Ovis aries: one gene and its partner. The protein of the gene in region 1 purifies or fractionates together with the protein of each later gene. This does not show direct contact. Links are inferred from orthologs where the notes say so. Each region holds a gene or a part of one and is shown on either strand. Other genes may lie near its edges.

Region 1 (7,642 bases):
TGGATGTTCTAAAGAAGTGCCCTGTCTATAAAGTGGGGGTGAAGGTATCTACTTTGTGGGTCTGTAAGGAGGACAAGTGGGTCAGTGTAGGGAGAGGGTGTGCCAGAAACTAAGCTACAATTATTACCATGAACTTCAGGCATCTTGGCTTCTTTTAGACGAAAAATAAAGACCTTCCTATATTCCAGGTTTTCCATTTTCTTTCTCTGCCTCCAATCCTCACCCCTCCCAGTGCAGTACTGCCACACGAAATGGAACTATTACGATTTGGGGCCTTTCAAGTTCATGCTTCATCGGATGTTATAGAACATCTGCTGGCATTATTCTGAAAACTCGCCTTTGACAGCAACCTGAAGAGCTTGAACTGCCATCCTGAGACCACCAGAAAGCACTGGCAAATGACATGTTCGGAGAACAATAAAAAAAGTTCACATATCATACCCTTTCGAGCGTCGCTACTTTGTTCCACTCAAAGGTGGTTCCTTCAAGATCGGTCTCTACGCAAGGAAGGAAGAAATAAAGAAACAAAAAATAACATATGAAGAATACAAGCAGCTGCAACTTGCAAAAAGCACCAAATTTTTTTTTGTAGGAAAATCACGTTAGGTGCATGGATCTAGTCCCTGGCTTGTGATCGGGTGGATGTCTCCCCTCTGAGGAGGCCACTGGTAAGTAAGCCACCTCAGGGCGCTCCCTTTCCTGGCTGGCAGTCTGGTTTACCAATGGATCCTGATAAAGGGCAAAGATTATCTTTCACACCTTGGGATATTTCCCCAGAGGCACAGCTGCAGCCCCTGAAACTCAGTTTGAATGGTTTGTTGCTTCATTTTTAGAGTTGCAGAGAATGTGCCATGGGAGAAGAGAAATCCTCTACCTGAAACCAGCAGAAGCTCAGTGGGAATAAAGAGTCTGGAAAGGTCACAGAGAGGGTCAAAAGAGGCTCTTTCTTCCCTGGCCATAGGGGGCTTATTGTTGCTGGTGTCCAAACTGGAAAAGGAATGGCAGGAGATTAATAATTGAAATGTTGCTATTATTGGTTTTCTAAACTATTTGTGGCTTATTCTTTCCCTGGAGTCATCATGCCTGTAAGCAGCTCAAAAGATAGAGGGATTTAACATGTACTGAGAAAATGCCTACTACAGCCCGATGCTTTACATATACTTATTTCTAATGGAGCCCTGGAACAATCAAATAAGGCTTTGAAAAGAAGGGAAAAAAAAAAAAAGCTCAGAGAAGTTAAGTAACATGCCCAAAGCCATACAGCTAGGGTCAAAGCCCAGGTTTCTCTGATTCGAGTATTATACCACACTGTCCAGGATCAGGGGTTAAAATTAATTAATGAGCCTTGATTCACTTCTCAAATGTGGTAAGAAGGAAAACAATATTTATACTCACTCATTTTTAAAAATATAAAACATAAACACAGGAAAAGATATTTCTGAACATGTGTCATCAAATTCTTTTAATGGAAGATGATTCAGAATCCATTTCTTGGTAGGTGTCTTCAGGCCCATCTGATGACAGACTTTGATGCTACAGTTTGGGGAAGTCTGACTGTATGAGCCAACAATAGTGGACAAGGCACGGCCCAGGGAGAGCAGAATACAGTTTAGGGTCCTCTAATTTAGCACCTGTGGCACTAGAAACCTTTGTGGTTGGCCTCTGCACTAAATGTTGGAAAAAGCCTTGCAAAGCAAGTTGATGGAGTAAACATAACTGCAAGGAGAATGGTTAACCTTCTAAAGAAAATAAACCTTTTTAAAGAAGTTTAACTTCATCAGTACCAAGCCATTGAAAACTACTATGCTATTTAGAAACCTATCCTTAAAAGCAGGCTGTGGAAGGCTGATCACACTTTCCTACCCGTTGATTTGTATTATCAAACATACCCTGTTTCAAACAGATCACTTCTCTCTAAATACCTGGCAGTTTAGGATGCTCCACTAATGCACTCAGGCCTTTACATCAAATCCTAGCCTCGGGCAATTGCACCCTATTTAAATAAATGAATATACCCCTGAATTCTGGCTTAAATGCCTCACCTGTCATTATCCTTCTCCTGAGAAGAATCCAGGGTTCAAACCTTTTAGAAGGGTGAAAACTATCAGAAATCGCTCTTGGAGAATTCCACAGGAAAAGCCCTGCTCCTCTGGGATACACACAAGGAGTCCATGTGCTCCGACCGGGATGTGGTAAAAATCAGGTTCCCTAAATGCAGGGGGCGTTGCCAAAGGAGGGAAAAAGGAGGTCACTGAAGTCTTAGAGGCACTCATCACAGGAAGTAAATGTGGGTTCCGCAGCGCAATGCCTGATTAGAGGGGTCACCTGTCTGCTTTAGAGCATGACCAACAGCTGCTTTCAAAAAAGACCCAGGCCTGAGCTCGGGCAGTGATGCTGGACTGGTTCAAAAGGGGTGAGGAGGAAGAGAAGAATTACAAAGATTCGAAGAAACTCTCCCAGAATCAAAGGGCACAATGCACAGGAATGATCAAGAGAGCACACACACAAGACTGAGGGGCCCAGGGGTGGCAGAAGCGACCACATAGGTCAGCTGGGACACAGAAGGCAGGCTTGCAAATAAAAAAAGTGAGCTCGAAACCTTTGAGATCTGAGATTATGCTTAAACCACAACGTCTTCCACACCCACAGGTCTTTATCTGGTGTCATGCGCTAAAAGAGCAGGGTAGGAAGAGCCTTAGTGCCAAGGCTTAGCCGCAGGGGGATGGCCTACATTCCGTATGGATTTAGATGAGGAGAACAGGAGGGGAACAGCACGGTTCCCAGGACGGCTTTCTACAAAGTTGACAAAATACCTCCCAACCCACATACCCAGCCCCTTGAGAAAGGGAAAGCAGCCTGTTTTACTATAGTTCTGAATTCAATGCCAAGTTCCTTCTCCAATGCTCACCCGGAGTGTCCAGCAGAGGGAGTCTCAAAGAGGTACTTAATAAAGAGAAAATTGTTTCATTTTAACACTCCATAGACAGTGGGAGCATTGACTGTAGCCCCCTCCCAGAGACTCAGAGGAACAATGAATGCCCGACTGGGTCCTCCTAGTATGTTCACAGAGCCACCGGGCTGGCTCCATTCTGTGTGGTGGAGTGATCAGAAATTTTGTTTTGTTTTGTTGAATGGTTAAATGGACCTTGTGTTCTTCAGAATCAAAGAGGAAAGCCCCTGGAATAACATCTCTCTGTTGCCTTCTAAACAGGCCCCTTTGTTTCTAAGAGAGTCTGAAAAAAAATATTTACAGTCCATAGGTTATTTACAGCCTCGTTACCCAGCCTGACTGGTAACTTTATTCCATCCAGAAACCTAATTCATTTGGAGCTCTGGAACTAATAACAGATTTTCTTTTCAGATAAGTTTTGTTTTTTTTTTTCTAATCTGCCTTTATAACAGAGATAAAACTATTAATGCGTTCCCTGTCTCACTGGCCACGACTGTTCTCCGGATTTATAGAGGATTAAAACCTCGCCCCTCCTCTTCATTCCGCACAAACCCTTGCCTCCTCTCATTTGCTATTTCATCCACAGGGTATCTGAACAAAACCGAAAGAAAGCCAGATGGACTGACGCTCAAAGTATGTAAAGGCTGCTACTTCAATGATTTCATGAGAAAGACATTTTCACGAGGAAAATGACTGAAAAAAAAAATCAAACACCCTTTGGTTCAAAATCCCTCCTACTACAAGCACACACACACACACACAAAACACACATCGAAGTGTAAAAACTTAGTTGATTCCGGTTTGATTTCTGGCTGGAAACTGACAGAACTGACTGAAGAGAAACGAAAGAGGGACTGCAGGGGAAACGGAGTATTTCTGCCTTCCGTTCTTGTCTTTCTTCCTAAAGACAGACGAGAAAAAGGACCCGACGCCAGGTGAAGGTGCACCGCGCAGGTTTACCCAGACCGGCGGAGACCAGCGTCTTGGCCGCCTCCCCGACTGGCAAACCCAAACTACATTTTCCCTTACACACGCTAATGCGGGGAGATTTTCGCCTATTTCATTGTTCTGCCTGGCTCTGAAATGGACTTTTCCTCTCTGCCCCCCTCTCATCACCTAGCCCCGCACATTCCGATCCGACAGCCCCCCAAAATCTGAGGCTCGCGAAGAATAAAGGAGTGTGTGTTTGTGTGTGTGTGTTGCGGGGGGTGGGGGGGGGGGGGAGTGGAGGGAAACGGGAAGGGAGCTGGGAGGACGGAGAGTGGAAACAGATCACCCTAAAGGTAATTTTCTTTAGGGTGTGGGGGGGGTGGAGATGGAAAGCTACACCGCATCACCTTTATTTCTTACAAATAAATAAAAAGCACCGTCACGGGTCTGTCTTTTTTCCTGGCGCCCCCTCCCACCCAATTTCTTTTCTTCGGCCAGTAGCCCACCCTCGCACACCCCCCACCCCACCCCCCGCCTCTTTCTCCATCCTGGAAATAAGATCTGTTTGATTCCGGATCCCGGCCGATCGCCGGGCGACCGAGGGGGTGGCGGGGAGGGGGGCGGGCGACCGGTTCGAGCCCCGGGGGTGGGGCGCGGGGACCCGGCGCCGGGGGGCTGCGGGCCGGGGGTGGGGAGGTGCTGCCCGGCGCGGGGCCGCGGGCAGAACAAAGCTCCGGGGGCCGGGCGGCCGGGCGGCCGGGGGTCGGCGGAGTCGGCGGGCGGGCGCCGCTTACCTTCGTACACGGGGGCCATCGGGGCCGGGGTGTCCGCGATTCATGGCAACGGAGAAGGGATCGCGGCGCGCGAGCTCGGCCCCCCCAGCCTCAGTCGGAATCTGCCATCTTGAGCCTGTGTCTCCGCTCTCGGCGCAGCCGGGGCCGCCAGCGCCCGCATCACCGCCTCACTTGGCCGGCGCCGGGGGAGGGGGCCGGGCGCCGCCGCCGCCGCCGCCGCCGCGGCCCGGGCCCTGCGCGGGGCTCCCGGGGGCTCCGGGGGGCGGCCGGGCGGGCGCAGCGGCCGAGGCCGAGGGCCGAGCGGCCGCGGCCCCCGAGCGGGTCCGCGGTGGGGCGGGAGCCGGGGCGGGCAGCGCGCGGCCAGTCCCCGGCCGGGGCTCAGCTCAGCATGGCTGTGTGTGTTGGGGAGGGGGGCGCTCCGGCAAAAGTTGCACGGGAGGCGGGGGAGGGGCGGGAGGAGCCGGGGGAGGGGCGGGGGGCGGGGGCCGGGGGCGGGAGCGGCGGCCGAGCGCGAGCGACGAGCGAGCCCGGAGCCAGGAGTCCGCGCGCAATCGAGCGCCGATGGCACGGATGCGAGGCGGGGAAGGCCGAGCGCAGGGCAGGAGCGGCCGGGCTGGTGCGGGGAGGCGGTGGGTGGGGGGCGGATCCCGGGAAGCCGGGGAGGTTAGGCGGCTCCGCCGGGCGGCGGTGCACGCGCTTTGGTTCTGACTGGCAAGGGGGAGCCGGTCCGCGGGGGTGGCACCAGAACTTTGTGTGCATGCGAGCTGGGCGGGAGGGGAACCGACTGGAAGGGAAGCCTCGGCCGCCGACGGCTCGCCCTTTCTCGCACCTGGTTGGCGCTCCCCGAGATGGGTTTGGAATGAATGAATGAATGGAGGAGTGGGCGCACGCGGTCCTCCCCGGACTCTCGAGTGAGTGGAGGAGCTTTGGAAGCCCAAATGAGGTCAGAGATGCGGGAGCCATTCGGCGCACGCTTATGAAATGCAGCCTTCGGATGTTCGCTGGATTCCTGCGGGAATCTGGTTTCCGCCCCCATCCTCAGGTCTACGAGGTCTGGAGGGTTAATCCCCAACCCCTATCACCTAGACGAGTGGTTGCCACCGATTGTTTCCCAGGCCTCTGCCTTCCTCAACGCTCTGCCTCACAGAGCTTCAGACGCGCTCCAGACTCCCCGAGGCTTGCCAGTCCCCTCCTGCAGCTAGTCTTGGGTTCTTTGATGGGATGCCTGCCATCGCCCCCAACTTAAGACCTGATCTTACTCTTAGGCAGGGTTTTTAAAACTGTGGGTCGTGACGCAGTAATTGATCATAACAGACATTCAGTGGACGGCAACCAACTTTTTAAAATAATGAAATGTACTAGAATAGAAAGTATTAGATGCCACTGCCCTTAGAATAATTGTTTCATAAACCCTTTGTTTCAGTTATATATACTAGACAACTGCACTGGACCAGGATACAAGTTGTATTTCCTGCTATGGGTCATGGGTCCAAAAAAAAAAAAGTTTAAAGTCTGTATTTGGGGGATGTAAAATAATGAACAAATGATTATTTTCCTGCCACCTCTTACTTATCCTTCCCCATCTCCACGCCCTGTGACAAACCCCGTCTGAAAAAAACCTCCAAAGACAAGCCCTTTTATACACTCACCTTGTTTTGTTAGGAGCACATCATTCCCCCTTTGCCACTGATGACCTTTGACTCTGCTGTCTTCCTTGTCCCCATATTTAATGCTACACTTTGCACTGCTTCTCTGAGCCTAATGTCATTCTGATTTGCAGAATCCTTGACTACCACTGCTGAAGGGGCTCTAGAAATCATCTGGGCCAGCCATGCCCTTTTAGAACTGAAAGGATGAGGCCCAGGGAAATGAAGTATATTGTCCAGTGATACACAGTGTTAAATCTTGGGGTTCAGTATGGAGATTCCTTTTAAAACTAAAGATTAGAACTACTGTATGATCCAGCAATCCCACTCATGGGTGTATATCTGGAGATAAACCATAACTGAAAAAAATACATGCACCACAGTGTTCATTGCAGTGCTATTCATAATAGTCAAGACACTGAATCAACCTAAATGTCCGTCAACAGAAGAATGGATAAAAATGTGGCACATATATACAATGGAATATTACTCAGCCATAAAAAGAATGAAATAATGCCAGTGGCAGCAATGTGGATGGATCTAGACATTATCATACAGAGTGAAGTAAGTCAGAGAGAAGGACAAATATCATATGATGTCACTCATATGTAGAATCTAATTTTTTAAATGATATAGATGAACTTATTTACAATAAAAGAAACATTTACAGATATTGAAAACAAACTTTTGGACATATACACACAAATATACATAAGATAACCAACAAGGACCTACTGTATAACACAGGGAACTCTACTTAATATTCTGTGATAACCTATATGAGAAAAGAATCTGAAAAAGAATGAATATAAATATATAACTGAAATTATTTTGCTGTACACCTGAAACTACCACATTGTAAATCAACTATACTCCAATAAAATTAAAATTTAAAAAAAGGGAGAGAGTAAAACCAATCAATTAGTCGATCAATCAATCAACCTTGGGGTTAAGCTCTTGGCTCCCACTCTGGTGTTTTTTGCTTCACACCATCATTCATCCCTTCCTTCTATCCCCCTGTCATCTACAGGTCACAGCCCAGTTTACCCTAAGCACTTCCGCCTTCAAAACACACAGCTTTGTCCATGCCATGCTCCTGTTAACATCCTTCAAAGAGTCAACCTCTGTGCTCAGAGCTGAATTTCCTTGCTTCTTGGCTCTTAATCAAGGCAGGCAGGCTCTGACTTACCTTTTTAAGCACATGAGTTGAGTTCAGCAAGTCACTGCCTCTCCAGCCGTACTGGTTCCCTCATGGTCCTCTGCCAGCCTTGCCCATCTGTGCCTTTGTCGAAGCTGCTACTTCCCCACCAAGGATGGCTTCT
Region 2 (7,007 bases), on another chromosome or scaffold:
ACAGGGGCTTACTGCAGCTCTAGCCACAGCTGCCGAAAACTGGACCCATCAGGAAGTCCTCTAGCTGGCGAATGGAGACGCACACTGTGGTCCACCCAGAGAGTGGAATATTATTCAGGGCCGAAGCCACAGAAGGACACTGGGGAACCTTAAAAGCGCATGACCAAGTGAGAGAAGCCAATGTGAACAGGTTACGTACTGTCTACTTCCAACTCCACGGTGTCCAGAAAAGACAAGACCATGGAGACAGCAGAGCTTACTGTCTCTACATTAGAGACAGCCTGGAAAATCCCAGGGATGGGGGAGCCTGGTGGGCTGCCGTCCGTGGGGTCGCTAAGAGTCGGACAGGACTGACCGACGTCACTTTCACGTATTGGAGGAGGAAATGGCACCCCACTCCAGTGTTCTTGCCTGGAGGATCCCAGGGACGGGGGAGCCTGGTGGGCTGCCGTCCGTGGGGTCGCACAGGGTCGGACACGACTGGAGCGACTCAGCGGCGGCGGCGTCCGCTGTTAACTGGCCACTCTGGGTGGGGTGCTGATGGGGGGGCGGGGGAGGCTGTGCACGCGCAGGGCGAGAGCACACGGGAAGCCTCTGCACCTTCCTCGCAACTGTGCTGGGGACGTAAAACTGCCCTAAAAGACAACGAAAACAAAATCGCGTCTTTAAAAGAAACATGGCTGGAGTCAGAATCAAACCGCACCTGAAGCTGGGCCCGCTCCGGACTTTCCGTCTATCTGGGCCAGCCCAACGTCTTCACTGTGGAAGCCGGGCGGGCTGGGTTTTCTGTGACTTTCAACCGCATGGACCCTAACCGCAAGCCCTGCAAAGCGAGTGGACTGTGCTGGACTCCACAGCCTGTCAGTGCTGACGGACACTGGCGCTGACACGGGAGGGCGCCCATCCACACACCCACACAGGCAGCCCTGGGAGGGGCACGTCCCAGTGCAGGCAGGACTCGGGGGCGCAGGCAGGACTCGGGGGCGCCAGGTCCCTGTGGCGCCAGCACCTCCACGTGCCGGAGTCCTCACAGCTGAACATGTTCCCGCAATTGGACAGTAAAGGGTACATACTATGAACAGAGCAAACCGAAGAGAGAAAAAGCAAGGCTGCTGCTACAACGGGCCCCCGACTGAGAACTGGGAAGTGTGAGGGTAGCACGTGGAAGTTCCAAAATCAGAAATCAGAACTGAGCTCAATGTGTTTTCCTCTGCAGCCCAGGCCTCAAATATAATCCCATTTTAAAACTGTTCTAATCAAATATGAAAACTTCCGTGTTAGGTTTTAAAAGCTATTGTCACTTACTAGCCGTCCTCACCAGGATAATTCTATAGTATATTCTGTCCTGAAAAGATTACTCAATCGATAAGGACAGTGAGCAAAAGGTGCACAGAGATCACCTGAAACAGAGTGTCTTTTTTCATCACACCACTTAAAGAGTATTTAAACCCTGAGAAAGTTGAACCCTGTTTCTGTCAGAAGTAGCCAATCTGCCACAGAAACCCTGGAGACGCGATCTGGCCTTTGGCCAGCTCCACGGGAGAGCCCGGCGCCCAGGGGTGCCTCTGCAGATCCGCGACTGAGTCGGCAGGGCCACAGGGTCCCCAGCTGTCAGTTCTGCAGGCAAGCGTGTCTGGGACCACCTACCGACAGGGAAATGACCGAGAACGCGAGTGCCCACCGACATCGGCTGTAGGCCCCACCTCCCCACCAAACACACTTCCAGCAAACTGGCACACTTCCAAACTGGCAACGACTTCTGGAGAGCGCCACTCACGCCTCCAAGGCTGCACCGTGCCCCATGCAAGGACTGACGGCAACTGGAGAGAGCTGGGAACCGAACACACAGCAGCACAACCCTTTCCTTGGCGGGGGCCAGGAGGTGCAGATCCAATCCTGGAGCCCCACTGCAGCCACAGGGAGTTCCCAAAGCGCTCGGACAGCCTGCGGCACAGCAGCCTCCTCGCCACCACCTCCCAAGCGGCCTGGAATTCTCTCCGCAATGACCACTCAAATGTCCTATCAAGCCAAGAGGATCAAGTCTGCCACACAAACCCACCTTCTGTGCAAGAGAACACAAATTTTACTACTAAAAGGTAAGCTTTAAATATCATGACTCCTAAGAATTCCAACATGCCTAATGACTTACAAAGCCATATATTCTAGGCTGTTCTTGATAGGTGAGTCAGTCAGCTCAGTCGCTCAGTCGTGTCCGACTCTTTGTGACCCCATGGACTGCAGCACGCCAGGCCTCCCTGTTCATCACCAACTCCCGGACTTTCCTCAAACTCATGTCCATAGAGTCGGTGATGCCATCCCAACCATCTCATCCTCTGTCGTCCCCTTCTCCTCCAGCCTTCAATCTTTCTTGATAAAGGGGCCCTCAAAATATTAAATACATCTAGGGGAAACTTCCCTAGTGGTCCAGTGGTTAAGAATCCCCCTTTCAATGCAGGGGACTCCAGTTCAATACCTGGTTGGGGAATGAAGATCCCACATGCCTGGGGCAACTAAGCCCCCAGGCCATAACTACTGAGCCCATGGGCCCAAACAAAGATCCCAGCAACTAAGACCTGATGAAGGCAAACAAACAAACATCTGGGACTTTCCTGGTGGTCCAGTGGTTAAGAATCCGCCTACCAATGCAGGGGATTTGATCCCTGGTCCCTGAAGATTCCACGTGCTGCGGGGCAACCAAGCCCGTGCGCCACAACTATGAAGCCCATGAGCCGCAACAAGAGACGCCAACACGGGAGAAGCCCGGGCTCCACAGCTGGAGGGCAGCCCCGCTCGCCACAGCCGGGGGAAGCCTGAGCACGGGAACAAAACACACACACACACACACACACACACACACACACACACAATTTAAAAAGAAACGTAAAGACACCTAATACACAAGAAGGTATCGTGAGCAAACACCAGCCCCACAACTCACCCCGGCTCCGGGAGTCCACCCACTCGGGCTGAAGGACAAGGCCTGTCCCTGGCTGCGTCTCCAGTCGTGGAGGTGGGCACGGGACTGCAGGCCGCGGGTCGACTCACCTGAACTCTCTTCCTTCGCTGTACCGTCTACTCGAGGAGGCCCTCGGGGCGGCCGTCTCCAGGAGCAGCTTCTGCGTGAGCCTGCCAGGCGGAGCAGGGCCCCGGCCACTGTCTTCGTCCGCCTCCCGGTCACACTTCCATTCCTCGTCTTCGTTCAGCGTGGGCAGGTACCCGGGGACACCCTTCCCTGTCCCTGACCCAGAGCTCTGGTCGCTGCAGAGCTTCGGGCTCTCCGAGCCTGTCCTCGTGTACTCCAGGTAAATGTCGGACTTGAGGAAGGAGGGGTAGGTGTTCTCCTCCATGGTGGACTGGACCTCCGTCTGCGCCTGGTCGAACATGGCGGGGTCGATCTGCTGCTTCGAGATGCAGTCCTTTATGAAGCTCTTGGTGGCGGGCTTGGTCTGCCGGGACACAATGCCGTTGTTATCAAGGATGTATTTGCGATAGATGGCTCTGGCCAGCTTCAGCCTCTTCTCTTCATTCGAGTCACAGGGCTCCAGTTTTCTGAAGCCGCTGCAGGCAAACCAGAAGTCCAGGAGGTCGGCACAGTCCTCCTGTTTCAGGAAAGTCCTAAACAGGTTTATGCCATCTTGATCGTCCAGCAGGGAGTGCAGCGACTCGGCCCACTTCAAGTACGGAGGGGTGGGCGACGCGCTGCCCTCGGGCTCATACCCCAGGTCCAGGTCCGAGCGCCTCGGAGTGGCTGTGGAAGTCTCCCCTTTAATCCCAGCGCCTTTCCCAGAGCAGAAGCTGTGGCTGACGGGCCTGGGGTCTGTGGACACCAGTTCACCCTCCTCACCAGGCACTGGGGGCCGGGGGGCATCTTCGGTGAAACTTGCTCCGAGGTCCAAGGGGAAACCCTGCTCCTGGATATTCATTTTGGGACTCTGTGCGTCAATGAACAATGAGCGCTGCACCCTAATACATCAGTACTTACGGCTCCAAAGTGAATCAATCTGTCCTGTTGAAACCATTAAGAGGACAAGGATTAGGAAAGGTGGGTCCATGGAAACATGACCACAGAGGTTTTCTCACGACAAGACTCTCAATGATGCCCTCCCGCTCGAACTCAAAGCCAGAAACTCAGTTTAAATGTTCAATCCTTTGTCACAAGGTTTTGTACTATGTTAGAACAATTTCTGTAAACTTTGCCAACTACAGGAATGCCTCTGGCACAAAGAAATCAATGTCCAGAACACAGAGAGCGTCACTACCCTTGAGGGTCCTTCTGTGAGAACAAAGAGAGACTATAAGCCTGGGGACCCTCCATCCTGAGCTGCTACAGGACTGCGTGGCCAGGCCCTCTCAAGCTCGGGAAAGGCAGGAGGGCTGGAGGAGACACAGGAGCTTCTGGTCCTTCCAGCTGTGCAAAGCCAGGTGAGAGCCAGCCCCTCACGAGGAAGGTGAGGGTGTGTATCTCAGCGTCACAGGGCCACTGTGATGCGCAGACATGGCACTCCACACCGAAGGCTGGCGCCCATGTCTGCCCTCCCCGCGCTTCAGGCTCACAGCCGCTCTGCTTCTTGCTTTCCACCGCTTCACACTGAGTGTCCCCACGACCCGGGCAAACACACAGCGACTGGTTCTTCTAAGTCTCCACACGCCCCAAAGAGCACGGAACCTTCCAGTGAGTGAGCACAGGATGCTGCTCCCGTGCACAGCGGCCTTCTCACACCGCCAATGATGTGAAGGCTTTTATTTTTTTTGGCCACACAGGGCAGCTTGTGGGATCTTAGTTCCCCGAGCAGGGAATGAACCCAGGCCCTCAGCAGTAAAAATGTGGAGTCCTACCCACTGGACCACCAGGGAATTCCCATGAACAGTCTTAAAAAATGCTTCCATCAGAGACGTGCTCTAGATTTGAAAACCTTGCTTAAGAGTAAAGAGTCCTTCTGACAGCAAATGGCAACTGAGTACTCTGAGAAGCAGAGAGGGTACAGAGCAGACGAGGCCCAAACCCTACTAGCTAAGGAAGCCCGCAGCTCACAGGATGAAGCTCGGTAAAGTGAAAGCCACATGACTCGCCCTCTCGGAGTGAGGGAGCCATGGATCTGTCTCTGCTGCTAGAAGCCCGTCTTGCACAAGGGAGGGCTGCCCTGCCAGGGCTCTGCCACAGCCTCGCGTCCTGTCCTCCCTGACACTGAGCTTATGGGCTCAGGCCACACCTCCCAACCTGGCCTGCTGGATGTAAGTGGTCTGCCTAGAAAGAGACTGGAGAGAAGCGTGATAGGCCCAATCGCTGAGAGTGCAGAGCAAGTCAGAGGAGCAGAGCAAAATCCAAAAACCTGGCACCAACACAAGGTACAGACCTCCCAGCCACCTCTCCACTCTTGGGCCTTGGCCTACATGCAACCTGCCCCACACCTGGTCTGCACACACTCGCCTGCCAGCAGCTGCCGACGCCTCACGGCACCCAGAGGCGGAGCATGGGTCACAACTATTGTCCTGCAGCTAGTGACTAGCCTACCGGGTCGGCTGCAATCTCGGCCTCGGCAGGAACAGCCTGCTTTCTCAGGTCAAGGCCCATGGGCTGTGACAGCTGCTGCTCACGGACCACTTCAACTGCAAGGTCGCCTCCTCTGAGCCCCGTCGAAGGGGACTGAGCACCTCTGAGGTCTCCACACCAGCTCCCGGATGCTAGCGCCCTCTTGTCGGGGTCACCATCCCAGGAAGGAGGACCCTCACCTGGTCCCCTGAGCCTTACTACTGGAGATGCTCTGTGGTTCACTTGCCTTGAGAAAAAACCAAGTCACTGTGTTCTAAGACGAGGCTGATTACTAGTCACGTCACTTTCTCTTGAAGTGCTGATTTCTTTCAGGTAAAAGACTTGGAGCAGCCTGGTTTAAACGTTCTCTGCAGGGCCTACAGGATCTGACACAAGGTCCCACAACTAAAGGGCACCAACAGACATGTAATTCATCAACATTAAGGAAAACAACACTCGGCACAGATACGGAACATTAGCCCTTCACAGGTGCTGAAACAGCAGCAAATTCAACATCGAGCTATCTTTTCATTTGGGTGAGAGCAAGTCCGCCTAATCATTTGAGCTATCTTCTCACAGCCCGGAAGAAATGTTTCTTAAAATTCACATCTGTTTTGGGCTGTCAACTGACAGGAGACCTTCGGTGTCCCAGAAGCACAAGAACATCTCTCCACACTGCTGTTGTTACGAAACGCGCTCCCATTACTGAGATCTCCGGGTTCCCAAGGAGAAGCACGGCAGGCATTCAGTGTGCCCACGTACACACCACATATGAAGATGCTGCCTTGCTTCAGATTAGAGTCACGGGCCCACAGGCGCTGGATCTGGCCAACAGCCTGTAACCACCTTCAACAAAGGGGACTCCACAAAAGGAATCTACAGCCCTGATGCCTCATTTACAATCTCCTTCAGTCACTGCCAAGGAGCACCCCCTGGGTATCACGGCAGCCAGCTCAAGGCTGTAGGCATGTGTATATTTATCTGTTTTACTCAAATGCAACTTTTGAATTTTTGATTTATGTGAAGTATGGAAACAACAGAGTATGACTCTGACATACTCCCAACTGTCCATTAACTAAGGATTGTTTAAGGATTGGGACTACAGCTTTACATGTAATTTATTCCCCCACCACCTAAATCCTCAATGACCAACGAAACCCAAAAAGTCCACTTAGCTTTCCTGAAACCATAAATCCAAGAAACATCAATACCTGCTAGGAATCAGACAGAAACATACATCCTGTATGAGTTCCCATCCTTGTTCCTGAATAGAAGTTCTTAAAACTGAAACCCAGATAGTGCTATCTCCGGAGGTCAGGTTTAGATTGTGTGTGTTTTCCAAAACAAGGACTGGTCCAAGGATGTCTGAGGGTCTCCCTGAAGCAGCAGAGAACAGAAGTATGAGCACAAACAAGGGGCCAAGATGCACAATCACTCTTTATTAATTATTTTAGAGACCGGCTGAGAAAAATGCCCA

What was found. The genes of interacting proteins can lie anywhere in the genome.
Region 2: the proteins of HIPK2 (region 1) and AXIN1 purify together in Homo sapiens (affinity purification with western blotting; 3 studies listed by BioGRID). This does not show direct contact. The link is inferred for Ovis aries from reciprocal best matches to the Homo sapiens genes HIPK2 and AXIN1.

The regions. Positions count from the first base shown.
Region 1 is NC_056057.1:104,673,585-104,681,226, forward strand, and holds the start of HIPK2 (homeodomain-interacting protein kinase 2), read right to left. Parts: upstream 4,715-7,642; 5' UTR 4,694-4,714; coding exon 4,675-4,693; intron 1-4,674. Other genes in the region: putative HTLV-1-related endogenous sequence, read right to left, coding at 4,715-5,066, 5,185-5,382.
Region 2 is NC_056077.1:874,749-881,755, forward strand, and holds part of AXIN1 (axin-1), read right to left. Parts: intron 6,983-7,007; exon of another isoform or gene 6,742-6,982; intron 4,007-6,741; 5' UTR 3,924-4,006; coding exon 3,046-3,923; intron 1-3,045. UniProt on the Homo sapiens protein: Component of the beta-catenin destruction complex required for regulating CTNNB1 levels through phosphorylation and ubiquitination, and modulating Wnt-signaling.